Linked DNA regions of Danio rerio. Each later gene encodes a partner of the first gene's protein in a complex. Links are inferred from orthologs where the notes say so. Each region holds a gene or a part of one and is shown in the gene's direction. Other genes may lie near its edges. The genes, in order: sart1, lsm3, lsm8, lsm6, snrpd3l, snrpf and prpf6.

Region 1 (2,826 bases):
TAATATTTGGTTCATGAATGGGTTGGCAAAATTAACTGAAATGAGCATCCCTAACTGGATTGTTTGCACTTTGCAGGATTAAGTGTAAGATCATTTTACTTTGCTCAACCAGACGATTATACCAATTAAAAACGTCATTAGCTAGGAAAGGAGTGGTTTGTTTTAAAAATATATATTGTTTAAAATTTTATAATAATTGCTAAATACAATGTATTATATAAAATTGTTGTATTATAAATATGAATATAAATTAATTGACACTTTGACGCTACATATGGGCTTTGTTAAACTGTAAATGCTGCTGCTTCAGTGAAAACATGGAATTGGTGGTGATTTCTTTTATGATAACCCAATAGCATTTATTCATTCAATACAAAAATTATGCTTTTTTAAAATACTTTTAATAGTTTTTATTAGGAACAAATAACAAGTGGAAACAAAACAAATAATAATATTGATTAAAAACAAAAACAATATATAAATATACACATACATGTCTGTCTGTCTGTTTGTCTGTCTGTCTATCCATCCATCAATAACTCATTTCTAATAGCTGATTTATTTTATCTTAGCCATGATGACAGTAAATAATATTTGACCAGATATTTTTCAAGACACATCTATACAGCTTAAAGTGATATTTCAAGGCTTAACTTGGTTAATTAATGTTAACTAGGCAGGTTAGGGTAATTAGGCATGTTATTGTATAACGATGGTTTGTTCTGTAAACTATTAAAAAAATCTAGCTTAAAGGGGCTAATAATATTGACCTTAAAAGGGTATTTAAAAAATTAATAACTGCTTTTATTCCAGCCGAAACAAAACAAATAATTCTCCTGAAGAACAAATATTATTAGACATACTGTGAAAATTTCCTTGTTCTGTTAAACATCATTTGGGAAATGTTAATAAAAGAAAAAAAATCAAAGGGGGGCTAATAATTCTTACTTCAACTGTATATTTATTTACACAGACACACACACACACACACACACACACACACACACACACACACACACACACACACACAAATGCATAAATTCCACACATATGTACATACAAACATAAATATTACATTATCCTCTTCAAGAAATAAATAAAAAAAAAGTTTGCTAAACTTATTCTCAATGGTTCATAACCTCTAAAATTATGTCAATGTTAAAGTATGGAAAATTATATTGTCATTGTGGTGAAAGTCAGCCATTAACTCCATTTTTTTTCCAAAGATCTCTCTTTGTAATCAAAATGCATGTGTCATTATTTCAATTTCAAAGATGATGCATTTAATAGTTAATCAGAATGTGTAAAAACTCATTTAATATCAATTTAAGAGGGGAAAATATCCCAAATATGCGGATTTAAGTAATTACCAGCTGATATACAACACTGGATAAATTCTGCTTAATTATATTTAATAATCATACTTCCTATTTGGACAGATCATTTTTATTCCTAGAAAGTCTGAATGAGAAGCACATGGAGATTTCTGAATAAATAAAGAGATTCTTCACCCAAAAATACAAATGTACTCTCAATTCGCTCTCTTTTAAGATCTTCCAAAAAAAAAGAGGATATTTTATTTCTTATGTTCAACACAAAAGAAGATGCTTTGAAGAAAGATGAAAACCTGTAAACACTGACATCCATAGTAGAAAAAAAATACTATGGAAGTTTATGGTTAGCGATAAAAATTTTTTCAAAATACATTCATTTGTGTTCAACAGAAAAAAGAAACTCAAACAGGTTTGAAACAAGGGTTAGTAAATTGATTGATTTTTCTTTTTTTTCAGTATAGGGTGAACTGTCCCTTTAAGGCTGAGCTCTGTATACTATCATTGTTGTCAAACTATAAAGCTAATGTCCATTTTGCTTGTCCGTGCAGCTGCTGAAGAAGATGAGCAGCAGTGATACTCCTCTGGGAACCGTGGCACTTCTGCAGGAAAAGCAGAAATCACAGAAAACTCCTTACATTGTGCTGAGTGGCAGCGGGAAAAGCATGAACGCGTACGTATTTTATTTACACTTTCCTTTTCATTCTGTCTGTATTCTGTTCAGTAATTGGTTTTATCTTCTTCTTTTTGTTTACAGAAATACCATTACAAAATAAATCTTTATTCTGGAACAGAAGGACAGAAAATCTCACAAAATGCGCTCATTTTAGCTGTCTCCTAAACACAGTTGCAACTGGTGATGTATATACAGACATTGTCTTGTATGTGAATTTAAGTCCCTTATTTGATTTAACTTTTTTGTTTTGATTGACAGTTCTCTGTAGAACCTTATCTGTCTTGTTTTTTTCCCCTCAATAAAAACTGTTGCGATTTAAGACTGGGCTAATGTCATCTGAATATATATATATATATATATATATATATATATATATATATATATATATATATATATATATATATATATATATATATATATATATTTTTTTTTTTTTTATTTACACTGATTATATCTGGTGTGGCACAGTGGCTCATTGGTTAGCACTGTCGCCTCACAGCAAAAAGGTTGCTGATTCGAGTTGGCGTTGGTTTAATCCAGGTGCTCCGGTTTCCCCTCACAGTCCAAAGACATGTATTAAAGGTGAAATGAATAAACTAAATTGGCTTTAGTGTATGAGTGTGAATGTGAGTGTATGGGTGTTTTCCAGTACTGGGTTGCAACTGGAAGGGCATCCTCTGTGTAAATCATATGCTGGAATATTTGGTGGTTCATTCTGCTGTGGTGGATGAGGGACTAAGCCGTAGGAAAATGAATGATTATATCTTACAATGTTTTTCACTCAAGTTTAGATCAGTTCTGTTTCTTGTCCAATTTAAA
Region 2 (3,998 bases), on another chromosome or scaffold:
GAATGTCTCAGTAGTCCTTCAGCGTTAGAAGGAATGGTAGGCTATAAAATATTTTCTCAGCTTACACAGTCGATCTACATAACTGAATAGCAACACAGGCACAGGTTACTGCATCTATTTTTTAATATATATATATATATATATATATATATATATATATATATATATATATATATATATATATATATATATATATATATATATATATTTAACTGACTGTCACACATTCTCAGCATTTGCTTTTAGTTGAATTTCAAGTGCAGCAAGCTAAACTTGTTATTTATTTCTTAAAGAAATATTATAATAATTTACTGTCATGTTGTGTGACATGCAAAAGAAAATATTTAGAAAATTTTAATATTCAGAAAGTTTTTGTTTCCAATTTTTATTTGTGCTCTAGACCCAGGCCTTTGCAGAAATGTTAAACTTTTTAAAATTTATAATGGGTTTAAAATTCATTTAAAAAAAATAATCTTAATTTTTTTTCCACTTTTCTCATTTTTTTTCAGTGTGGTCAGTTTGACCTCAAACACCATAAGTTTTTTTTTTCTTTTTTTTTTTTACACATATAAAGCAACCAAATCAAGTCCAGTTGTGACTGTTTTGTTAAAGGTTGGACTGATGTGACCCCAACATTGCCTAATTGATAAAGTTGCAATTTCATATGCAAAATTGCATATAAATAAACACCAAATAGCCTACTCTTGATAACAATGCAATCCAGATGATCAGCCTCACAACTTTCACTATACAACTAAATTGTCTAATTTTCCTTTGCAGGAAATGTGAGATGGGCTTTCCCAGATATGAAAATGCGGAATTTAAAGGAAGCAGGAGGAGATGTGTTTCAAATCTAACAGGGAGGGGGAATAGTACTTCCATACTCACAAACACAAGCTTTTTTCAGGAATGTCTGTGCGATCACTGATCCATCAATGTAGAAAAGGGATGAAAAATTATAATTTTCGTAATTTAAAAAAAATAAATAAATAAATAATTGCACAGTGACATCCGGGAAAACTCCCGATCATAGCCTATGTGTATATCTTTGGCTTTGGATGGTCACAGCTTGCATTCATTTCAAAGGAGCGGTTCCCTGTACTAACATGGTGGATCTATTGACGCATTCCTTCCAATAGACAACAACAGGGTAGGCGACATCTAACGTATATATCTATGTCTAACAGGAAGCAGATGCATTTTCCGTCTAATGATTTGTTCGCGAGAGAAACGGAAAATGCATTCTGGGTAGATTTGAAAGATGGCGGACGACGCTGAGCAGGTTTGCAATTTTTGCTTTGTATAAATATTTCGTTAGCTGTTTGATTATCGCGGAGGTTAATCGTATTAATTGTGTTTATTTTTAACTAGTTGAACACACGGGTAGCCTATGCTAAAGCAGCTTGTAACTACGACGATTGTTTGCATGGACATTTTCATTCAAATAAAATACATCACTGAAATTTACTTTACAGCAACAGACCACCAACACCGTAGAAGAGCCTCTGGATCTGATTCGGCTCAGTCTGGATGAGAGGATCTATGTAAAGATGAGGAATGACAGAGAACTGCGTGGCAGACTGCATGTGAGGGGAATACTACATTACATACTCTAAGTTAGTTATACTGCACGTGAGGGAAATGCCACATAATATACTGCATACGAGGGGAAAATACTACATTAAATACACGTTTCTACTGTACGTTATTGGAAAAAATACAACCTTAAGCATATTATATAACGTTATACTAAACCTGATTCAAAATACTACATTAACCATTATATAATGTTACATAAAGTTAGTTACATTGCACGTGCAAGAAAATACTAAGTTACATTGTGTATATATAAGTTACACTAATTATACTGCACGTGAGGGAACATACTACATTAAACATTATACAGTTATACTGCACGTGAGGGAAAATACTACATTAAACATATTATAGACTCTAGTTAATCTGCATGTGAGGGAAAATGCTGCATTAAACATTATTAAATTGCACTTGAGGTAAAGTACTTTTATAGATATATTGTTAGCCTTCACGTGAGGGAAAATTCTAAATTAAACATTAAATATTATAGTTAGACTGCATGTGCGGGAGAAATACTACTTTAGTATATACTCTAGTTCACTGGTTCCCAACCTTTTTTTGCCTGAGACCCCCTTTTTCCCTGGAAAATATTGTTAGGCCCCCCTCCACATTTAATGATATAATCGCTCATATAAGTTTGCACTAATAATGACAAAAAATATTGTTTCAAACAAAGCAAAGGTAGATCTCCAGGAACAGGATTGGCCACCCCTGCTCTAGTTAGACTGCGCTTGAGAGAAAAAACTAAATTAAACAGATTATACTCTAGTTATCCTGCACCTGAGGCAAACATTAGGCATATTATATTTATCATTATTATATTTATGTTCATTCATTCATTTTCTAGTCGGCTTAGTCCCTTTATTAATCCGGGGTCGCCACAGCGGAATGAACCGCCAACTTATCCAGCAAGTTTTTAGACAGCAGATGCATTTCCAGCCGCAACCCATCTCTGGGAATACTATTTATATATATATATATATATATATATATATATATATATATATATATATATATATATATATATATATATATACTAATTAAACTACAACTGCACATGAGGGAAAATACTTATATAAATATTATATACTCTAGTTATACTGCATGTGAGGGAAAATACTACATTGTAGTTATTATATACTCTATTTATACTGCACATGAGAGAAACTACCACATTGTACATATTATATACTCTAGTTCAGTGGTTCTCAAACTGTGGTACGTGTACCACTAGTGGTACGCAGGCTTCCTTCTAGTGGTACGTGGAGGAATAAAATATGTCATGTACATGCTACACACATTTCAAAATTGATAAAAATGATGTATATAATGTCATATGACATATAGCCTATATTTCTCATGTAATCTGCCACGTTTTTTTAACTGTGCAGAGTTGTAGCTGCTTTACTGGGCCTACAAGGCTATTGTATCTCAATACTGCTCATTTTGGTGGTACTTGGAGAGACAATTTTTTTCTGAGGTGGTACTTGATGAAAAACGTTTGAGAACCACTGCTCTAGTTATTCTGCCCTTGAGGGAAAATACTACATTTTATACAGACTCAAGTTCAATTATGTCTCTAAATGTATTATGTTCTGTTATTAAAGTCACATGAATTTGGTCTGTGGATTTTTTGGAGAAAATAAAGGATAAAAACATGTAAAAGTGAATTGATAAAATCTATTAAAATGTAATAATCAAATGTTTTATCCTAATAATTGACTACACGCATTAGTGTAGTATGTAAAGTGTTTAGTAAAAGAAAGGAAACATACAGAGGATTAAAATAATATTTATATTGTAATTGTATTTAGATCTAAAATACAAGTCTAAACTAATAGTCTACAGCAGTTCTAATGTGTTATTTTAACAGTACGTATGTATATATGAACAGTATATTGAAAAATCTGTTTGATTTTAATAACAAATCACAGAGATAAGGGATCAGAAAAATGTAAATGTTTTGTATTTTACAGAGGTAAATAAACTTATGGATGACCAAAAATGTACTGAATACAACTTCCTTTGTGTGAATTAAACAGCACAACCAAAAAGGATAAATGTTGACATAAATATACTTTTATTATTTTAATATTCATTTCTTTAAATATTTATTTTCTTTTATTTACCATATTTGCATTAACAGGGCTCGAAATTGCGACTATTTTGGTCGCATATGCGCCCGAAATTTTATCTATGCGACCTTAAAATATATTTGGGAGCATTTCTGCGAGAGCTTAAAATTGTTGTGTGCAACCAGTTTGTCTGCTCTTTGTCTGCAAAAATGCAGCGCTCGGGAATGGTTTAAAACAGTTATCATGTCAACTTGTTGCAGTAAACAAATCCAAGTCCGTAATGCTTGCCCTGCCTTTGCGCTCTTCTTATTGGCCCACCACTGCTCT
Region 3 (4,088 bases), on another chromosome or scaffold:
TGAAACAAAGAATCTCTCTAAGTTGTTGCCTCACATTTTCAAGGCAGCTGCTGAACTTGAGTTTGTAAGTTTAACCAATGTGAAACGTTTTACAGTGTGGGCAATTATTGAGGGCCCCCAAATTTCTTGGGGTCCTAAGCGGTTGCTTGCTTCATCTTTCAGATGAGAAGTTAAACCCAGGTCTTGATTCTCTGTGGTCAATAAAAATCCCATGGCACTTCTCGTAAAGAGTAGGGGTGTAACCCTAGTGTCCTGGCCATATTCCCTCCATTGGCCCTTACCCATCATGGCCTGGCCTCCCAATCATCCCCATCCACCGAATTGGCTCTATCACTGTCTCTCCACCAATACCTGGTGTGTGGTGTCCGCACTGGCACTGTGGTCCTGTGGCTGCCGTCGCATCATCAAGTGATGCTGCACACTGGTGGTGGTGTGGAGAGACCCCCCTCATGATTGTGAACCGCTTTTGGTGTAAGATCTATAATATAAATACACATTACATTACATCATTGGTTAGGTCAGTCCCTGATTCTGATGTAATAGCAACGTAATTCCAGAACCACCATACAATTCCATCAAATTTATTAAACATTCAGTACCTTACGAATATTAACAAGTTTTAATTATTTTTTCCATGCTAGTGTGTAGCAAAACACCGTATAACAACTATTTTTAACCACTACAGCACTTTTATATAGTTCAATCAGCATTAATTCCCATAATGGCGATGTACAATTACAATTAGCGTCTGAAATCATCCCACAACCATTGATTGTACTTTTGTGTAAGTGCCGTCGTCATCATTACCACCAGTGTTTCCATCGACCCCCACTTTGACCCTCAAACAGTTAGCCTTTTCAGCAAGAACTGATTATAATCTCTAAAGTTACTCGTTAGAAACAGTATTGTGCTCTCTTCCTTAGAAACCAGAAATCTCCAGAGCGCGTCATCTGCTGGACAAATACCGCATCACTCCCTCACGACGGCTAAACTTCACATTAATTTGTTTAAACTATAAAATTAACTTCATTAGCACTGTCCATTTGTGGTCTATTTTTAACAGTTTTGATTGATGTAAACGTGTGTAATTGTAAGAAATCTATTTAATTATTTATACGCTTATTTTTATGTACGTGTGTTTGTTTTGCTTCTTAATTAATGTTTAATTATTTGTACTCTTACTATATTTATCTTCTATCATCCCTGGCATTAAAATGTGTGTTCTATTGTCGCGTACTAGTTATTTAAAGCTTATTAAATAAATACTAATTCACTCATGACAGCTTTCGTTGCTCCAACTCCATTAGTTCTGCCTGAAGTTGTGCTCAATCGGTCATCGCCTACTCGAGTCTCTCCGTTATCGCTTCCGGCTCAAGAACGAATGCTTTTCGTTGTAGGAGCTAGCGAACGAGCACCGGAGGATTTAAAAACACGCACCAGCAGAAAAGATGTCCACCGCTCTCGAGAGTTACATTCACCGTATCCTTTAATACGCATCGTGAACAGCACGGCGGTGATGTTGTTGATCGATACCCCGTGTTTTGTTGTTGATTGTGTGTGTTTGAGCGTGAAATGTCTAACTTTATATATATGGCGCGCCAGCAAGTGAATTAGCTTTTGATGATCATACGTCGTTATAATTCACGTTATAGCATATTAATGTACGCACATACATTTCTTGAGCAAAATAGATCAGTTCAAGATGATTATCGGTTATCTGGATGTGATATTAACTTCATAGATGCCTGTTTTTTGTCAAATATTTGAGTTTTTTTTTCTGGACCAATGAAAACGAGTCTTCAAATATTTAATTAAGACATATCATATAACTGGAATATTACTATTTACTGTAAATATTACATATTAATGTGTTCACATCTTGCATATCGGGTAGAAATAAGTATATTTGACTGTTTGTATTCATGTTAATCTATATAGATATAATTTATGTATGTAAAACAATCTAGAAAAGTAAAAAAAAAAATTTACATTTTGGATATAAGTATATTTGACCGTTTGCATTCATGTTAATCTATAAATACATATAATCTAATTTATAAATGCAAAACAATCTACAAAGGTTTTAATTTCTGAAATATTTCGTAAAAATAAGTATATTTGATTATTTTTATTTATGTTAATCTATTTATAGATGTAATCCATATATGTAAAACAATGTAGAAAAGTTTTTATTTCTTAAATTTTGCATAAAATTAAGTATATTTGACCATTTGCATTTATGTTAGTCTACATATAGATGCAATCCAACAATCTAAAAAAAGTTTTCATTTGTTCAATTTTAGTTAAAAGTAATTATATATGACCCTTTGTATTTATGTTAATCTATATATAAATATAATCTATGTAAAACAACCTAGAAACGTTTTAATTTCTTAAAATTGCGGTAAAAATAAGTTTATTTGACTGTTTGAATTTGTTAATCTATAGATAAAATACATATATGTAAAACAATCTAGAAAACTTTTCTTAATTTTTGGTTAAAAGTAAGCATATTTGACTGTTTTTATTCATGTTAATCTATAAATAAATATAATTTAGAAATGTAAAACAATCTAGAAACATTTTCATTTCTTAAATATTTCGTAAAAAATAAGTATATTTGATTGTTCGTATTCATGTTAATCTGTATATAAATATAATCTATATATGTAAAACAATCTAGAAAAGTTTTAATTTCTTGACCATGACCATTTGTATTCATGTAGATAGATAGATAGATAGATAGATAGATAGATAGATAGATAGATAGATAGATAGATAGATAGATAGATAGATAGATAGATAGATAGAGAATATGAATCAGTCAATGAATAAAATACTTAATAGAGATTTTGAACACACATTATGTGTACTATATAAACACAAATCCAGAGAACAAATAAACGCAGTGAGTGACCATGCATACATAAAATGAGCTTGAAATTTCCTTGACTGTGATTTTTTTCAAGGGACTGTTGCTATTGTCACTTCGGATGGCAGAATGATCGTGGTGAGTCTTCCTCGTGTACTTTAAAGGGAGTTATCCACCTTTGTGTTTAATAAAGTGCAAGTCAAAGACACTTTGGGAGTGTTTGACTGTATTAGGAAAATCTAAACATTATCACTTGTAACTCACAGCTCCGACACATATTTTTCATTTGTATTTTTGTTTTGTTTAAATGTCTTTTATGTTTAACTGAGGAGAAAAGTCCCCTAGATTGTGAATAGCCTGAGTGTGAATAAATTAATATTAAAATCTGTGTTTTTTGGTGAACTTACCAATTAATCATTGTCTGTGTGCAGAAATGAAGAAGATCGCTTACTGACTTGTGCTGTTTTTAGGGGACGCTAAAAGGCTTTGATCAGGCAATCAACCTCATCCTGGATGAAAGCCACGAGCGGGTCTTCAGCTCTTCACAGGGGGTCGAGCAGGTGGTTCTGGGACTGTATATTGTCAGAGGAGATAATGTGTGAGTATTAAACTCCTTTCTTGTAATTATGTTTATGTTGTGCAGAACAGTGCAAGGTTTATGATTTTTTTCTTTTATTTGGTTGACATAAATGGGAAATTATTTTGTGTTTAAGGGCTGTGATCGGTGAGATTGATGAAGAAACCGATTCTGCGCTGGATCTTGGAAACATAAGAGCAGAACCACTCAATTCTGTGGTGCATTGATGGACAGAAAATTTCATTTTGATCCAGTTGAAAACTTTCCCTAGGAAATCTGCAGGCATCTATAAGCAGCAATATTACCTGCTTTTTTAATCTTGAAAAAGACTGAATGCATATTTGTTTTTTGTTTGTTTTGTTTTTTACGGGTGTTGAAATAATAAAACAAAAAGTGATAAATCAAGATTTTAAATTTTTTAAAAACTTGTATAAAGGGGAAAATATTGGTAAGTATCCATTTTCTGGATAATTCTCAGTCAAAAACAAAAAAAGTAATAAATTAACAGTAAAAGTAAGATTAGGTCCATCTCCAAAATGCCTATTTTATCACCCAAAAGTCAAAAGAAATTTCCGTATTACATGAAGAAATTGAAAAGCATTTAAAGCCCATTTTGTTTTATTGCATTCATGACGATTT
Region 4 (4,260 bases), on another chromosome or scaffold:
CCCTCTCAGGTCTTTGGGGGCTTAGAAAGGTGAGGCGGGTTGTACCAGCAAATCAACTGTGCCACTGTCCATCTGAGCTCACCAGCGTCTTGAAGGCAGGGTGAAAACAGTCCCATCTGGCATCACTGGGCGGTTATTACCAACACGCTACTGTTTTCATAGGAGCTGTGGGGTTATTCACAGGCTTGCGGTGAGAGTGGATTGTCTGTGCTGACTGAGGAAAAGCAAATGCTTTTTTTATTTGTTCCCAGTCAAAATTTTATGCACATTCACATCAGTCTACAAAATGTTAAGTTGAAAACTTTTTGAAGGACAGCACATTAAGGTTAAAATGCCCTCTTTATGTGAGACGGACAGAATCATCTTCTACCAAGCAACAGGCAAAACTGAAAGATAAAAAGCTTGTGAAATGCTTTCTGTGTCTGTAGAGCTCTATTGTGTTTTATTCAGTATCGCTTAACAAGCCAAGCCATTCACGCTTTTCCAGTAGTCAAGAAAGCATCATAGTGCTTGTGTCAGCTTCCTTGTCATGATATTCCATATTTGTTTACAACTGAAAATCCCGGTGCTGTGTGCCACAACCGAAAAATCTGTAAACTCGTTCAATTTCTTTCCTTTTTTTCCTTAAATGAATGATTGCTTTGATAGGAAAATGCATTAGATCACATTTTTCTCTCTTAACCCTCCTTTAGGATGTGAACTCTGGCAACAAGGGGAAAAATACTCATTGAATATTCATTAACTCGTGCCTAGGTGTGTACACGGCTCTTAACCACACTTGTTTATGACTTAAGGACTTGTAGCGCTGACCTTAGTTTAACACAGCACCAGATACCAAATTAACCTCTAGCCTCCTCAGGGCTACCAATGCCCTGCTAACAAGCAAACTGTCTGGATGCGCCAGAAGTGCTTTATGATTCTGTCTCTCAGGTGCATCCCCTCCTCTGCCTGTGAACAAAAGACAGCTTTTTCTTCCCCATCTCCCTCTCTCTCTTTTGGCTATACAGGATCTTCTTTTTTCCTACATGTTTTAGCCACACCTCAACTACAACCTGAAGTTGCTTATTATACACAATGTACACAAAATACTTTGACAAACAGACAGACTATCTATCTATCTATCTATCTATCTATCTATCTATCTATCTATCTATCTATCTATCTGTCTGTCTGTCTGTCTGTCTGTCTGTCTGTCTGTCTGTCTGTCTGTCTGTCTGTCTGTCTGTCAGTCTAGGTTTCTATACGTCTGTTTGTTCGTCCATTTTTATCAGCTCATCTGTCATTCTTCTGTTTGTCTAACGATTTTATGTCCTAATGTAGCAAAAGCGACGATTCCCCGTCTTTACTGCCACCGTCGATCTGGCTCTTTTTTCCACTACGCATTCTTTGTCAAAGGAGATAACGCTATCTTGTCGGCTTCCGTACACTGGCTTTCTAACGAAGCATCTGGTTGGCTGAATGGTGTACACACCATGGAACTAGAATAAGCGGACGAGCTCATTGGTCAGCAGTCGCTCAGTCGAAACGTGCGGTTAACGTTGCTAAACGACATAGGTAAATAACGTTAAATGTTGTATGCTTTAATATAAGAATGCATTCGACGTTAGTGGGGTTTTAAAAAACTGCAGCACTGTAGTTACCTTGCTAGATATACGATGACACGTTTATTAAGTGATACGTTGGGTTGGAATGCTAGCATGCTAAATTAGCCGCTTATCGATAACGTTCACCGGCAATTTCCAAACAAATAAGGTTAAACCTCTTCTGGAAACCCCTTATGTGGTTTAAAATAAACGTCTTTAGTACGTTTTGTTGTTATTGTCACATCCTTTTTGTTAACAATGCAGCCATGGTTCATTTTTATAAGAGCTATTCATAAACTTCATTGTCATTCATTTTCAGCTAAAATGAGTCTCCGAAAGCAGACACCAAGTGATTTCCTGAAGCAGATCATTGGGAGGCCAGTGGTGGTGAAACTGAACTCTGGTGTCGATTACAGAGGTACAAACTGAAATATGCGGTTGTTTTTATGTTTGTATTTTACATTTATCATTTACAAGTTATCGAGGGTATGCATGAAGGGACTGATCATATTTGTTGTGTTGGAGGTAATAAAATAGGATGGTTTGGAAGTCAATCTTGAAGAAAACAACATAATTTCCTTATTGTAATTTATTACAAGTTCACTGCCACATGCAAGTTAAATATGGATAAAGTTGTGTCAGGTAAAGTAAGTTTTATATTCCAGGATTCAACGCTAAAGATTTTTTTTTTACTGGCCCGAAACTTTTCACTGGTCTGACCAAATATAACAAGTTACAGTTTTTCTCAGTGGCTTTGGTGCATTTCTCACAGCACTATTTACATTTGCACAACAGTTAATGCATTTCTCAAAATAATTAGTCATTTGTGCACATCCTATTAGCAGTTTCTCATTCCTTCCAACACATTGCAGATGCTTTTGGACATGCATCAATTACTTTCATACAACTCTCTGATATTTATAACATTATCATCTGCTTATGTCAACTAAACTTGTGAATTCTGAGTAGTCATTCCATATAAAACAAATAGTTTTCATTTCATTACTTGAGTCATTACATACAAAAATGTTGAACTAGTTGTCAAAATCTGTTAAGCAATATTTTATAAAAAAAATTAAATCTTTATTTTCCTGATAATGTCTAAAAAATTGAACAATTTCATGATTGATTTATAGACTTGTGTGTATTTTAGTTTCAGTTCCTATATGTTTTGCAATATTGTGTACAGTTGTGCACAACTCTACCCAAAGGGAGTTTGTTTGTTGTAAATAAGGGTGTATGTATTCTTTTGCACAATGGTGTGAATAAATTAGAATTGCAAAGAGTATATACAGTTAAAATGTGAAACATACATATTCAGTTTGTTGTACTCCGATTCCTCACTAAATGCAGTGATGTCTAACTTTACTGTAGTTTTCAAATGGCTGTGCAAATAGTATGCAGTGTTGTCTTGAGCATTTTCAGGAAGTGTCAACAAAATCTGACTTTTTTTGCATTGAAAAAATGTACAGAGTAAACTGTCATCATGAAAACAGGACAAAGCCATGTGACTATCTTGTTCATAAACAATGGTGTCAGGACTTTTCATTTTGATGATACTGGCACTTTGATTAACATCAATACTTGCTTTTGAGGAATGAACTATCCATTTTGAGCATGTGACGCATTTTTGCAGTTTATCATCTAGGTTTTGCAGTTTAAACTAATTGTTTTGAGAAATGCATTAACTGTTGTGCAGAAATGCACTAGTTTTGTGAGAAACGCACAAAAGCGACTGAGAAAAGCTGTAATAAAAAATATCCTAGCCACATATTTTAAATGTTCTGTCAAAAATAACATCTGCGAATGTAGCATTTAATGCTAATAAATCTAAAATAAGCAAAATTTATAGTGTAATGCAGACAAACAAACAAACAAAAAAATAATAGAAAATGTGCAGGTATTTTATTGCACTTTAAAATTATTTAACAAAATGTGGCTGACTTGCCAAACTTGCGGCAAACTGTGCAGAACATCACATTTTTTTCGTCATGTTGTACCCAAGACATTAGAAACAGACGTTTTCTTTTAGCTTAATAATTTGAAGTTGCCGCCTCTTTGCTGTACTGGTTTTTACCAAGTTTTAGAAAAAAATAACATGCTCACATCATCCAATCACATAAGAGGAAGCGAAAAGCAATATGGTGTTTACAACTTCACTGAGAAGGTAGTATTTAAAGGCTTGAAATAACAGTTTCTTAATTTTAAGACCTGATTAGGCCAGTAACGGTCCTGTTTAATGTCCCTAGCATCTCGCACACTAGCCCCGGGCCATTGGGCAGTCCTTATTGTTGAGCCCTGTATTCACATATTCTCACTTTTTTTCTTAATAATATAATTTTAGAAAAGTATTCTTTGAAAATTCTAAATAGTAAAATCATATCAGCAAATGACTATAAAAGTACAACATTGTTCACAGTCAAATAGATAGTACTATGTTGTTTTCATGTCAAACTTACTTATGATTTCAAATCAAATATTCAAAGTACCGTGGGAAACAATATAGGGAGCGTGTCGCAAGTTGTCGTTAAATAAATGTGCGAATATAAAACCAACTTTACCTCAGTTGCTGTATCCTGCTCTTGATCTAAGGCTTTTAGTCTGAAACCTTCCTTTAGTATTGCCACCATTTTCTTACACTTGGATATTTGTTATCAAACTTTTTGATTTCCATGCA
Region 5 (3,975 bases), about 16 Mb from region 1:
CTGTAAATATAATCACCTTCTAATGGTAAAAATATATTAATTTTAGTCTGCAGAAAAACTTTGATTGACATTCTCTCTTTGTAGTGACAATCTGTCCCTCATTAGCATATTACATTAGTCTTGTTTTTGAATCTGCCACTATGCTGACACACAGGCATTTGTGGCTCCCCTTTTTAAAAAAGGGCTGGGAACACAATATCATTTGAATTTAAAGCGACAGTAACCAAAACGACATCAGAGACTTTTAAAGATTTCACAAACTTTATATCTTGTAAAAAGGGCCATAAAAAGTCCCCTTTAAATCAGTTTGATTGATGTAAGTTGAAATTACTAAAATTAAATTGATTCAACTTAAAAATTTAAAACAGCAACAAATTTTTTACAGTGTATTATGGTAATTACTTATATATTTTTAATGTATGAAATAATGAAATTATGATTTTTGGCTGGGTCAGTTGGCATTTCTGTGTGGAGTTTGCACGTTCTCCACGTGTTGGTGTGGGTTTCCTCTAGGTGAATTGAATAAACTAAATTGGCCGTAGTGTTTGAGTGTGGATGAGTGTGTTTGGGTGTTTCCCAGTACTGGGTTGCAGCTGAAAGGGCATCCCCTGTGTAAAACATATGTACGATAAGTTGGCGTTTTATTCCGCTGTGGTGACCCCTAATGAATAAAGGAACTAACCCGAAGGAAAGTGAATGAATGAATGAATGAATGAATGAATGAATGAATGAATGAATATTGCTATACTAATTTGAAAGATAAAATTGACATTATATTAAATTCAATTGTTTTTAACAATGTGAATAATTCAATAATTGTAATAAAAGTAAAATAAACATCTTATATATTATATCATAGCTGTATATAATACAATATACAATATTTAAAAAAAACTGTTTTAATAGGTTCATTCTATCGATTTTATTTACAGTTCTTCTCATATATTGGATTTCAAAGATAGATTTAACAAACTAATTACAATATGAATATTTAAAATTAAATCAAATTACTTAGATTAACTGTTTATTATGAATGTGACACTAATTTGACTCAGATTTAAAACACTAAATTAAATTATTTTAAGTAAAATGCACAATTCGATGCTGCCCTCTTGTGTGCGAGTCTTGAGATGTTTGCTGCGTAGTTTTAATACGGACTTCACCTCCCAGGATGCAACTGGTTTTCAGGAAAGGGCGGGGCTTTTGCTTTCAGGTGCATTGTGGGAGCGGGAAAACGTCGCACAAGCTCACGTTGTTCCGCTGCTGTGTTTCAACGAATCTGCAGATTCAAGGTACTGTAATGCTTTATGATTATAACCTGATAACTACGTGGGGTATTTTGCGTGGTTCTGTGCTAAAATATACAGTCCTTTTTCGATTATTTAGTAGAGGAACATATATTTCGGTCATTCATTGTTTGCATTCACGCGACTCGTTTGAGAGATCAATCTTGGATATTCATTAATGTCTATCGCTTCATCCTGTTATTGAGTTCAGTAACGTTATAAGTCAGTTTTTACAAGTACCGTAGCCAAATGATTTTATGGTGTTTCATATTCTAGCGTGGATTCTTTCCAGCTAACGTTACATGTTTAGAACATGATTCTTAAACGAATGATTCGTAAGAGTCGGTTCATTTTATTGAATCAAAAGCAAAAAAGGTATAATAAATCGTTCTAACGAGTCGGTTATTTTAAATTACTCAAAAAATATGACATATTATTTTTTTCTATTTAAGAGGTGACTTTGGGAGTTATTTTTTGTTTCATAAAACTAAACCTGGCTCTTATAAATAAAATCCAAGTCAAAGGGTAACCTTTGATATTCACAAAACATATACAGTCAAAAGCTAAAGTTAAATGTGTTATAACTATATATTTGAGTTAAAACTACACTCTGATTTCGACAGTATAAGCAAAAAGGCTGTAATGGTAATATACACTCACTTTTTACACATTCTTCATTAATCAGAAGCAGTCTACTTCAGATTCAGTGACGTTACGAGCTCCTCCCATGCTTACTGATATATATATATATATATATCAAAGACATTAAGGGGATGATACCAGAACAATTTTGAGCATGGTTGTTGGAAGATGTTGTAGTGATGCTATCATTGAGAAACCAAGTAAGACACAGGACAGCTAATGAAGGATCCAAATACAATTTTGATACCCATTATCAATAGGAAAGTAGCTAAGCAGAATCACTCTGCAATATTGCCGAGCAACATTGCTCAAAAATAGGTTTGACTAAAATGTAAGTCTGAGCCGTTTCATCTGAAAGAAACATACACTGAACTGATCTTAATGCATTTCCGTGTGTGTTTTGGTTGGTAAGATGGAAAAAATCCTAAACTTTATTTGATAGATTTAGAGCAGTAAGAGGGTAAAGATGCTAAATAAAAGTTTAGTACACAGGCAACAAATAGTATAGCAGGAATTTGACCTGACAATGTAAAAAATGCAAACAAATAACAAACTCTCCTTAATATGAAGAACTGTAATGTCACATGAGTGCAGCAGTCATCGGATAAACCCAAAGAAAGGGTTTGTGTGCCCGAGACGAGACGCATGCTGTAAATGCTCCACCCTCTTACAAGCAGTAGCTCATTTGCATTAAATAGGACACACAACAACTGTGTTTGGGGGGCATTTACAGCATCAGTCTGTGGAAGAAACTGAGCATTATGTACAGTATTACCTTAAACCCCCAGCCTGTGCACATGTTTAGCCTTTTCATTAAGGTCTCCCGGTGACATAATGATGTGCATGTTGTCGTCAATATTGTGGATGGGATGAGGTTGAATTATCAGCAAATTTTCACTTTGAAAGAACTATCCCTTTTATAACCATTGGTCAGTGTCTGTTGTCTATATATATATATATATATATATATATATATATATATATATATATATATATATATATATATATATATATATATACACATACATACATACATACACCACACACACACACACACACACACACACACACACACATACACACACACACACACACACACACACACACATACACACACACACACATATATATACACACACACACACACACATAGATAGATATATAGATGTATAGATAATATTTTTTTGGTAATTTTGTTTTTTTTGTCCCACAGTTCAAAACATGTCTATTGGCGTACCCATCAAAGTCCTGCATGAAGCAGAGGGTCACATTGTGACCTGTGAGACAAACACAGGTGAAGTGTACAGGGGAAAACTGATCGAAGCAGAGGATAACATGAACTGCCAGGTACTGCTGAACTGAAGAACAGTTTATCCCACTAAAATCGCATTCTTTTAATGTCTGTTGTCTCGAGTCATGCAACTGACTGCGTTTCTGTTGTGCTGCGAATCAGATGTCCAACATTACAGTGACCTATCGAGATGGCAGAGTGTCACAGCTCGAGCAGGTCTACATCCGTGGCAGCAAAATCCGCTTTCTCATTCTGCCTGACATGTTGAAAAACGCCCCCATGTTGAAGAGCATGAAAAACAAAAACCAAGGAGCAGGAGCCGGTAGAGGAAAAGCTGCTATTCTCAAAGCTCAAGGTTAGTTATTTTAAAAAAAGTTACCTTTTTTTTTAAATTCATTACAGTGTTTGCAGTCATATTGTGTAATTTTTGAGCCTTACTTTGCATTGCATTGGCAATGATTGTAAGCTGCGCCAGAGATGCCTTGAGACGGCATATTTTCCATTAAGCTATTGTTTACATTAAAATATTTGTTTACAAAAGATGCAAGAAATGCAATTGCTGTTCAAAATATTATTTACAGGATATACAAGAGCTATTTTATTTAAAAGAGATATGGCTAGTTTTATACTTTTAATATGAAAAGCACAGAAAATAATTTATTTTGTTTTCAAAAGTGCAAGTTATTTATTTTCAGAAAACTGACTGTTGGTTTTAGGTAATGTGTGTTTTAAATTGAGATCTTCAGTGTTGATGAT
Region 6 (4,015 bases), on another chromosome or scaffold:
ATCTTAATTTATACCGTAAGCAGTTAAGTTTTTAAATTCCTCCTCCCTCAGTAGCAGTTGATGGCCAGTAGTCTAGATATTTATTTAGAGTAGGGGTACCATGTTTTTCATGATTTATTTATATAAATGGCAAATTTGAAATGTTAGTTGTCTCTGTGAGTGTATACTGCAAATGAAATTACCCTACAGGGACAAATAAATTAACCAACTAGCTAGCTAACTAACTAACCTAACTATATACACCCTCTCTGGGGAAGAAAATATTGTCCATCACTATCCACCACTGTACATGACATTTCAAACATGACCTCTTTTGAATAGATGGTAATGAAATGCAAAAACCTACTGGGCAAGTCTTCGGTTAAATGATTGATGTGGGATATTTGCATTTTTTTTTATTTATATAATTGAGGGTCAATAGTTTTGCAAAGCTAAATTACTGTACAAATCAAAGAGAAATTAGATGTGTTGTGCTTTCAAATACAAATCTAAAAGACTGTAAATGATTGCAAGTTTCCGTTCTCGTTGAATGAAATGATAAAATGATCCACTGCTGCTGTTTTGGGAGTTGTTAAAAATGGTACAAAATAAATATATAAAATAATTTATACATATTAATTTTTTTAAAGGGATAGTGATGAAATGAAATTATGTTCTCATTTACTTACCCTTCACTTGTTTATTTCTTCTGCTGAACACCAAAGAAGATGTTTGGAAACTGGTAACCATTTCTATAATATGATGAAAAACAAATACAATAGAAGCCAATAGTTACCGGTGTCCAACATTTTCGAAACAACAATACCAGTTTTAACATACTTCCAAATATCTTATTTTTGTTTTCAAATGAAAAAAAAGAATCTCATTAAGGTTAGAAACCCCTCAAGGGTGACTATATAGACAATTTTGAGGAATCTAAACAAAAGACAATGGTCCTTACGTATTTCCTGTTTTACATTTTAAATTTCTATAGCTTCCGAGAATCTAAAAAGAGCCACATATTGATAAATAATGTTATAAGAACTGTTTTAACATTAAGTTATGGTTGAATTGCCTCTTGATACAGCTGTGAAACAGTTTTATAACAAGCAGGAAATGTTTATGGGCCAACGACATCATCAAACGGAAATAGTTTATAGTAAGTACATTTTTATTTTTGGATAAACTATTTCTTTAATTTCAGACCTCCACTCCAGCTCAACTGAGGATTCACGGCTCTATTCCCCGCCTGTCCAGCGAGTGGCGCAGCGGGCAGATCCGCTCTTCTCTCCTGCCGTGCGGTCAAAGTGCGCTCGTAGTCCTTCCCTCTTTCGGCGGCAAGGCGTGCGAGTGTGCTGCATTAGCTTATACTATTCAAATAAACAATTTTTGTGTCTGAAAATACTACTTAAGTAATCCAGTCATGGTAAGTTCATCGTTATCTCTTTTATTTGTATCCAAACCTTCAGTTTGGCGAAAGAGCGTAGACGTTTTCATTCATAAATACGCTGATAATGCGGCTAGGTGTTAGCATCAGGAACGCAGACTGGACGTTGTTTTCAGTCATTTTCAGTGTTGTGTTAGAAATGTTGAGCTTTGCTGATAAATGTTCCTCCTTGTTCTCTTACAACCTAGTCGGTGACTCCCAAAATGCGATTAAATGATATATGTGTGGGAAAACTAAAGATAAAAACTAACGTTAAAGGAGTTTTTTCTGCTATTACTGATGCTTATTTGCAGCTAATTCTGGTGGAAACCAAAAACAATTAATGCTGTAAATTATTATATTGTTTTATTGAAGTTATACAATATATATATATATATATATATATATATATATATATTGTGTGTATGCATGCGTGTTTTGATTTTTTATACCACAAACTACAGTAATGAGAATTTGTCATTACAATTTAAAATGAAGTCATATCAATTGTATCTGTTTTTGTTTTGTTTTTATTATTTGTTTATTTTGCTTGTGTAAATTCATGCGGCTAGTGTCAAAACTTTTTACTAAAAGTTATAACAAGCTGATGAAGAAAAAAAACTAAAACCCAAAATGTAAATCTTTTTTTTTTTCTATTTGGTCAAATATGACTGAGCATCACCGGAGGCTATGCTAAAGTTTCTTCTAAGCTTTTCACTCACTTGAGAATAAAATCATCAACATTTGTAGTATTTTACTTCTTCAGGAACAATATTATGTTGACATGGAATTGTTTGAAAATGACACTTAGGGATTGATTTCGAATGATGTTAATTGTGTAACACTGATCTTTTCCCTCAGAGTTTGCCGCTGAACCCAAAGCCCTTTCTGAATGGTCTGACAGGAAAGCCTGTGATGGTGAAGCTGAAGTGGGGCATGGAGTACAAGGGCTACCTGGTGTCAGTGGATGGGTACATGAACATGCAGGTATGTTTAAAAGAGTTAACGATTCTATGAAAATCCAGCTCCTTAGTAGGAAGAAAATTTAAACTATTCTTTTTAACTCGAGACATACCGTTGTATATGCCATTATGGAGATGCTAGACACACACAGACATCTGCTTAAAGCAGAAGGTGGCCAAAAATGTAAATATTGTAATGGCAACCTAGCTGTCAAGCATATACACTTCATATGAAAACCTCAATATTTAGCAATTCTGAGTGTGCCTTACACAAGTGAGTGGGCTTTATAAACACTCCTTGACACACTTGCACTAGTTTTGTCTATTTGTACCAGACCCTCTCTTTCAACCACTTCATAGCTCTATAAAACATTGTGCATTTCTGAGATTGGTTCACACAGGTGAGTGGGCTTGACAAACCACCTGTAGAAATGCTAATCTCTCTAAATGCAAGTTTTTCTAGATCTCTTACAAGGACTTAATAAAAAAAAAAAAACAATGTTTACCTGTGACTGTACCACAAATTGTTTAACTGGTCATTTCCTTCAACCTTAAATGATCTCTTTTGCACAATATTGTTCTGTCTTATATAAAAGTACTTGTATAGTCTGTCTAAGGTTATGCGTAAAGTTTTTTTTTTTTTTTACTATTTATAGACCGTTTCAATGTGGTGATGCCATTGGCCCATGAATATTTCCTGCTTGTTGTCAATTCATATCTGTAACAAGAGGCGATTCATTCATAACTTATATAACAGCTATTATAACAGCTATTGTAACTATCAATATGTGGGACTTTTTGGACTCTCAGAAGCTACTGAAAATACAGTAGGACCATTGTTATTGTTTACATCCCTCAAAAAGGTCTTTAGTACATGTATAGTTAATTACTGCTCTGCTATGTAGTTATGTATAGGTTTAAAATCGCTCTTATGTCTATAAGGGTTGTTTATATTTATGATAGTTTATTTATGTTGCACTGTGGTCCTGCAAGACATTTCACTGTGTGTCCACAGATGTAGCGGAATGACAATAAAACTCAACTCGAGTTGATACTTTTGCAATGCCCTGTTTAAAATGTTTTAGATAACCATTTTTATCTGGAGAGTTCTTAAAGCAGGGATGTCAAACTTTGTTCCTGGAGGGCCGCAGTCTTGCATAGTTTAGTTGCAACCCTGCTTCCCCACACTACAGTTTGAGCATGTGAAATTCTGCCGTTTGGTGCTGCAAAAAGGGGCGGGATTAAACAAGCTGATTACGATTTGACCATATTTAAAATTTCTGTACAGAGAGGTCGTGTTTTGATCTTCTATTGGTCAGAGTTCACCAAGCTTTAAGTTTCCAACACATCGAACTGCGAAACTTGTGGCACGAGCTTGCGTTTCCTGTCTAAGGCATTTACTTGCTAATAAATGGAAGTCTATAGGGGTGCAGTGTGCCTGCCGCTTTACCTGTAGGTTTCAAACGACTGTAGGACTCAATTAGTTTGATCAGGTGTGGTTAATTAGGGTTGGAATTAAACTGTCCAGAGCTTTTGGTCCTCCAGGAATTGAGTTTGACACCTGTGCCTTAAAGCAACTATTTAAAAAAAAAAAAAAAAAAAGTGAATCTTTCGAAGATGGTAGAATTAAACTATTTTAAGTTTTTAT
Region 7 (3,500 bases), on another chromosome or scaffold:
TGAGATTTGTTGAGTTTATGTACTTTAACCTTAATGGAGTAAAAGTTTTATCATTTGCACGTTTTTTTTTTAATAAAGTATTTCCAAATAGAGCTATTCAAATCATCTGGTGAAATTAGATATAGAAATTACAATATATTGCAGAAATACAAGATATTTCTCAAATATATAGAATATTATCAACAGATTTTTCCAATATCATTCAGCCCTTATTGATATATTGAATATCGTTGAAAGTCCAGGTGAAATCAAAATTTAAAATCTTTTTTTTTTTTGCTGCTGTAAATTGTTAGACTTGGGGGGAAAAATCAGTGTGTTTGTTTTGGTCATCTTCTTTTAAAAATCTGACCTTTTTTCCACTCTGGAGGGGTGTTACGTTCTTTTAGATGTTATATTAAACTAGGAGTAGATGACATAACATACAATAGTTTAATGTGTGTGACAAGCGGATGGAGAAAAAAATAAACTGAAAACCAAATCTCACTGCAATTATTTATTGCCCATACATCCAATGAAACCAGTGAAAATATATAATACAATGAAAGAAAAATATTTACAATGATTAAATGATGAATTACCTGGGGGGAGAGGAAGTACTTGAATGCGCTTAAATCAAAGAAATAAATATAACAAAACTCAGTAACTGTTTTCACCAAACTAAACTAAATATAAAAAGAAAAGCATGAAAAAAAAAACATCTTCAACATACCAAACGTCTTAACTAAACTGCTCTAACTAAGAACAAAACATGCAGAAAACAGCACATTCTCCTGAACCTAATGAACTAATACAAAATATGCATCTGAATGTTGTATTTGTATATCGCACGACTTACTCACACCTACACCTCTCCGAGGTATCACTCAAACATGTCAGTTAACAGGACAAGTTCACAAGCAAACACATTAAATTAATCTCAAACTTTAGACAAGAGCATTAAACACAATCAAAACACATTCTCTCAGACTAGCCCTCGCAAGAGAGACTGTCCTCAGAGAGACCCACAGAAAGAATAAGAGCGAGAAGTGGCGAGAAGGAAAGAGACAGAGAGATCGCCATTGCAGTTTGGGCTCGGCTTTTAAACGCTACGCCAACCAGTGATTGGTGGCGCAAACCCAGCGTCAGCAGGCAACATCATCAGCACGAAATGCGGATCCTCCAATGCCATTCGTACCTGCGACACATGCATGAAACGACAAACCCACATACAAACAAACGCACACACTTATCCAAATTACGTTCTGCAAGCGAATGTTACAAGTGGCTATCTATCACTGATGTCAGTTTGACAGCTTGTGTGAAATGTTTAGTCACGCCCCTCTAACCGTTAGTTTGCTGTCAGTCATAGATGTATACACTAGATATCGCATAGGGACCCTGAGCATGCGTCAATAGAGCCTCTACATTGGTACAGTGCTCCCAGAACAAATGTCATTCAACCGCACTAGTCAAGACAGTGTTATTATGTGAAGATGCTGGACTTTAGCGCTGTCTATGGGTGTAGTAACGACCAAACAAAGAAAACAAAGCACAAAGGCAGAACATTTCATAGGTAATATTGAGTTTTTTTTCTGTTTTTGTATGTTCTGAACTTTTGTGCTAATCAGGTAACATTATGGATGATAGTCACTTACTGCATTCACCATAAGGCAAAGCAGCTCCAACTCGCACTAAACACTCGGCTTATGCTATTTTTGTTGAATAACAAACAATGCAAAAGAAATATGACAACGAGATGCTGCGCTGCCAGAAACTGGTATTGATGTCGGCTAGTGAAAGAGTCGTTCGGTGGATTCATTCACAAACGAATCGCTCCCTCCGTCAGTATGAGGAGTGAAAGCAGGAGAGGAGGTGTGTTTCAGGACATGATTTGATTAAATTTAACAGGGAGGGTGAATAGTACATTTCTGTACACACAAACACAAGCTTTTTGTCAGGAATGCCCATGCAGTCACTGATCCATCAATGTAGAAAAATAATGTAAAATTATAATTTTCGCAATTAGAAAAAAAAAAAATTACATATTCACATCCAGGAAAACTCCCGATCATAGATATATGTGTATATGTGTATATCTCTGGCTTTGGATGGCCACAGAACCTCCACTGTACCTTGGTCCCGCATTCATTTCAAAGGAGCGCTACCCTGTACCAAGATGGCAATGCAAGAAGTTTGCTCCAGTCTTCGATGTAATAAAATCTATTGGAAACCATATGCTGAATTTCTTTGTTGAGTTGTAATTCAATGTGCTCTGCAGTGCCACGGGTTTCACCACACGATCTGATATCGGTCCTGCTCGTGATGCCAATGACCCAGTTGATGATCGCCACGCACCTCCGGGGAAGAGGACGGTGGGTGATCAAATGAAGAAAAGCCAGGATGATGATGACGAGGATCTCAACGACACCAATTATGATGAGGTACATTTCGCAGGCGTCATATTGAGTTGATGTGCCAAAATGCAGCAGAATATTATTAATCTATGCCTCTATATCCTGTATCCTCTAGTTTAACGGCTATGCGGGCAGTCTGTTCTCCAGCGGGCCGTATGAGAAAGATGACGAGGAGGCCGACGCTATTTATGCTGCACTGGATAAAAGAATGGATGAGAGACGGAAAGAAAGAAGGTGAGCTTGACCTTTCTTCTGTCGTCTACACTTGCTGTTTATGTAGAGCGTTTGGGTTGATTTGACTAATGTGTCTGCAGGGAGCTGCGAGAGAAAGAGGAGATTGAGAAGTATCGTATGGAGCGGCCTAAAATTCAGCAACAGTTCTCAGACCTGAAGGTTTGTGTGGCTTTTATAAATATCAAAAAAAAAGTTGAAGAATCCTAAGATTCTTCAGAATAGTCCAAGTTTAGCGTGAAGACAAATAAAAAAGGATCAGACTATGCAACAGGTTTCCATCAGTTAAATGTTATGATTTATTTCAAAACTTGAACGAATGATCTGTCTAACTTTTACAGCATTTATCAATTAACATAGTGTAAATATTAAGGGTGTAACGATATTACAAACCGAACCAAAATATTGCGATACAGCAACCACGATACAGAGTACCGCGGTACTGTCATGCTCCTGCTTCCCATTGTTGAGGTTGACGTAACTTGTCTCTAACTAATTGAACCAATTTAAACACGTCTTTATTTATATCACGTCTTTATATTTGATTAAATTGTATTAGTAATGATGAGCTTTTGTTCTAAATATTATATTCTAAAGTTAGTATTTTCCAAGTACGTCATGTTATGTGACTTGACTGAGCGATCACTAGGCCCACACGGAATCTGCGCGCGCAGAATTCCGCAGATGTTTCGCAGATTTTCAGCAGAATTCCGCAGATTTCTGCTGATTTTTAGCCCATTATTAATTCTGTTTATTTACTTGAGTAAATGTGTAAATCAGAATTTATTCAGTTTTTATTCAGTAATTTATTACTTTTTATTTAATATATTATGGTTTTAGTTATGATACTCCGCTGGATACTCCCAAAATAATTCC

Evidence for each region.
Region 2: sart1 (region 1) and lsm3 share a complex: the UniProt entries of both Homo sapiens proteins name them as parts of the U4/U6-U5 tri-snRNP complex. The link is inferred for Danio rerio from reciprocal best matches to the Homo sapiens genes SART1 and LSM3.
Region 3: sart1 (region 1) and lsm8 share a complex: the UniProt entries of both Homo sapiens proteins name them as parts of the U4/U6-U5 tri-snRNP complex. The link is inferred for Danio rerio from reciprocal best matches to the Homo sapiens genes SART1 and LSM8.
Region 4: sart1 (region 1) and lsm6 share a complex: the UniProt entries of both Homo sapiens proteins name them as parts of the U4/U6-U5 tri-snRNP complex. The link is inferred for Danio rerio from reciprocal best matches to the Homo sapiens genes SART1 and LSM6.
Region 5: sart1 (region 1) and snrpd3l share a complex: the UniProt entries of both Homo sapiens proteins name them as parts of the U4/U6-U5 tri-snRNP complex. The link is inferred for Danio rerio from reciprocal best matches to the Homo sapiens genes SART1 and SNRPD3.
Region 6: sart1 (region 1) and snrpf share a complex: the UniProt entries of both Homo sapiens proteins name them as parts of the U4/U6-U5 tri-snRNP complex. The link is inferred for Danio rerio from reciprocal best matches to the Homo sapiens genes SART1 and SNRPF.
Region 7: sart1 (region 1) and prpf6 share a complex: the UniProt entries of both Homo sapiens proteins name them as parts of the U4/U6-U5 tri-snRNP complex. The link is inferred for Danio rerio from reciprocal best matches to the Homo sapiens genes SART1 and PRPF6.

Annotation. Positions count from the first base shown.
Region 1 is NC_133196.1:30,364,959-30,367,784, forward strand, and holds the end of sart1 (U4/U6.U5 tri-snRNP-associated protein 1), read left to right. Parts: intron 1-1,882; coding exon 1,883-2,004; intron 2,005-2,088; coding exon 2,089-2,107; 3' UTR 2,108-2,326; downstream 2,327-2,826. UniProt on the Homo sapiens protein: Plays a role in mRNA splicing as a component of the U4/U6-U5 tri-snRNP, one of the building blocks of the spliceosome. May also bind to DNA.
Region 2 is NC_133197.1:33,572,435-33,576,432, reverse strand, and holds the start of lsm3 (U6 snRNA-associated Sm-like protein LSm3), read left to right. Parts: upstream 1-1,198; 5' UTR 1,199-1,261; coding exon 1,262-1,282; intron 1,283-1,475; coding exon 1,476-1,586; intron 1,587-3,998. UniProt on the Homo sapiens protein: Plays a role in pre-mRNA splicing as component of the U4/U6-U5 tri-snRNP complex that is involved in spliceosome assembly, and as component of the precatalytic spliceosome (spliceosome B complex).
Region 3 is NC_133179.1:10,099,675-10,103,762, forward strand, and holds lsm8 (LSM8 homolog, U6 small nuclear RNA associated), read left to right. Parts: upstream 1-1,288; 5' UTR 1,289-1,448; coding exon 1,449-1,479; intron 1,480-2,969; coding exon 2,970-3,010; intron 3,011-3,342; coding exon 3,343-3,470; intron 3,471-3,585; coding exon 3,586-3,676; 3' UTR 3,677-3,851; downstream 3,852-4,088. UniProt on the Homo sapiens protein: Plays a role in pre-mRNA splicing as component of the U4/U6-U5 tri-snRNP complex that is involved in spliceosome assembly, and as component of the precatalytic spliceosome (spliceosome B complex).
Region 4 is NC_133176.1:39,344,495-39,348,754, forward strand, and holds the start of lsm6 (U6 snRNA-associated Sm-like protein LSm6), read left to right. Parts: upstream 1-1,460; 5' UTR 1,461-1,554; exon of another isoform or gene 1,555-1,777; coding exon of another isoform or gene 1,778-1,802; intron 1,803-1,902; coding exon of another isoform or gene 1,903-1,907; coding exon 1,908-2,001; intron 2,002-4,260. UniProt on the Homo sapiens protein: Plays a role in pre-mRNA splicing as component of the U4/U6-U5 tri-snRNP complex that is involved in spliceosome assembly, and as component of the precatalytic spliceosome (spliceosome B complex).
Region 5 is NC_133196.1:14,700,351-14,704,325, forward strand, and holds the start of snrpd3l (small nuclear ribonucleoprotein D3 polypeptide, like), read left to right. Parts: upstream 1-1,175; 5' UTR 1,176-1,292; intron 1,293-3,141; 5' UTR 3,142-3,149; coding exon 3,150-3,275; intron 3,276-3,381; coding exon 3,382-3,574; intron 3,575-3,975. UniProt on the Homo sapiens protein: Plays a role in pre-mRNA splicing as a core component of the spliceosomal U1, U2, U4 and U5 small nuclear ribonucleoproteins (snRNPs), the building blocks of the spliceosome.
Region 6 is NC_133182.1:19,364,115-19,368,129, forward strand, and holds the start of snrpf (small nuclear ribonucleoprotein F), read left to right. Parts: upstream 1-1,215; 5' UTR 1,216-1,402; coding exon 1,403-1,405; intron 1,406-2,266; coding exon 2,267-2,392; intron 2,393-4,015. UniProt on the Homo sapiens protein: Plays a role in pre-mRNA splicing as a core component of the spliceosomal U1, U2, U4 and U5 small nuclear ribonucleoproteins (snRNPs), the building blocks of the spliceosome.
Region 7 is NC_133198.1:7,083,188-7,086,687, reverse strand, and holds part of prpf6 (pre-mRNA-processing factor 6), read left to right. Parts: intron 1-2,257; coding exon 2,258-2,420; intron 2,421-2,508; coding exon 2,509-2,627; intron 2,628-2,707; coding exon 2,708-2,786; intron 2,787-3,500. UniProt on the Homo sapiens protein: Involved in pre-mRNA splicing as component of the U4/U6-U5 tri-snRNP complex, one of the building blocks of the spliceosome.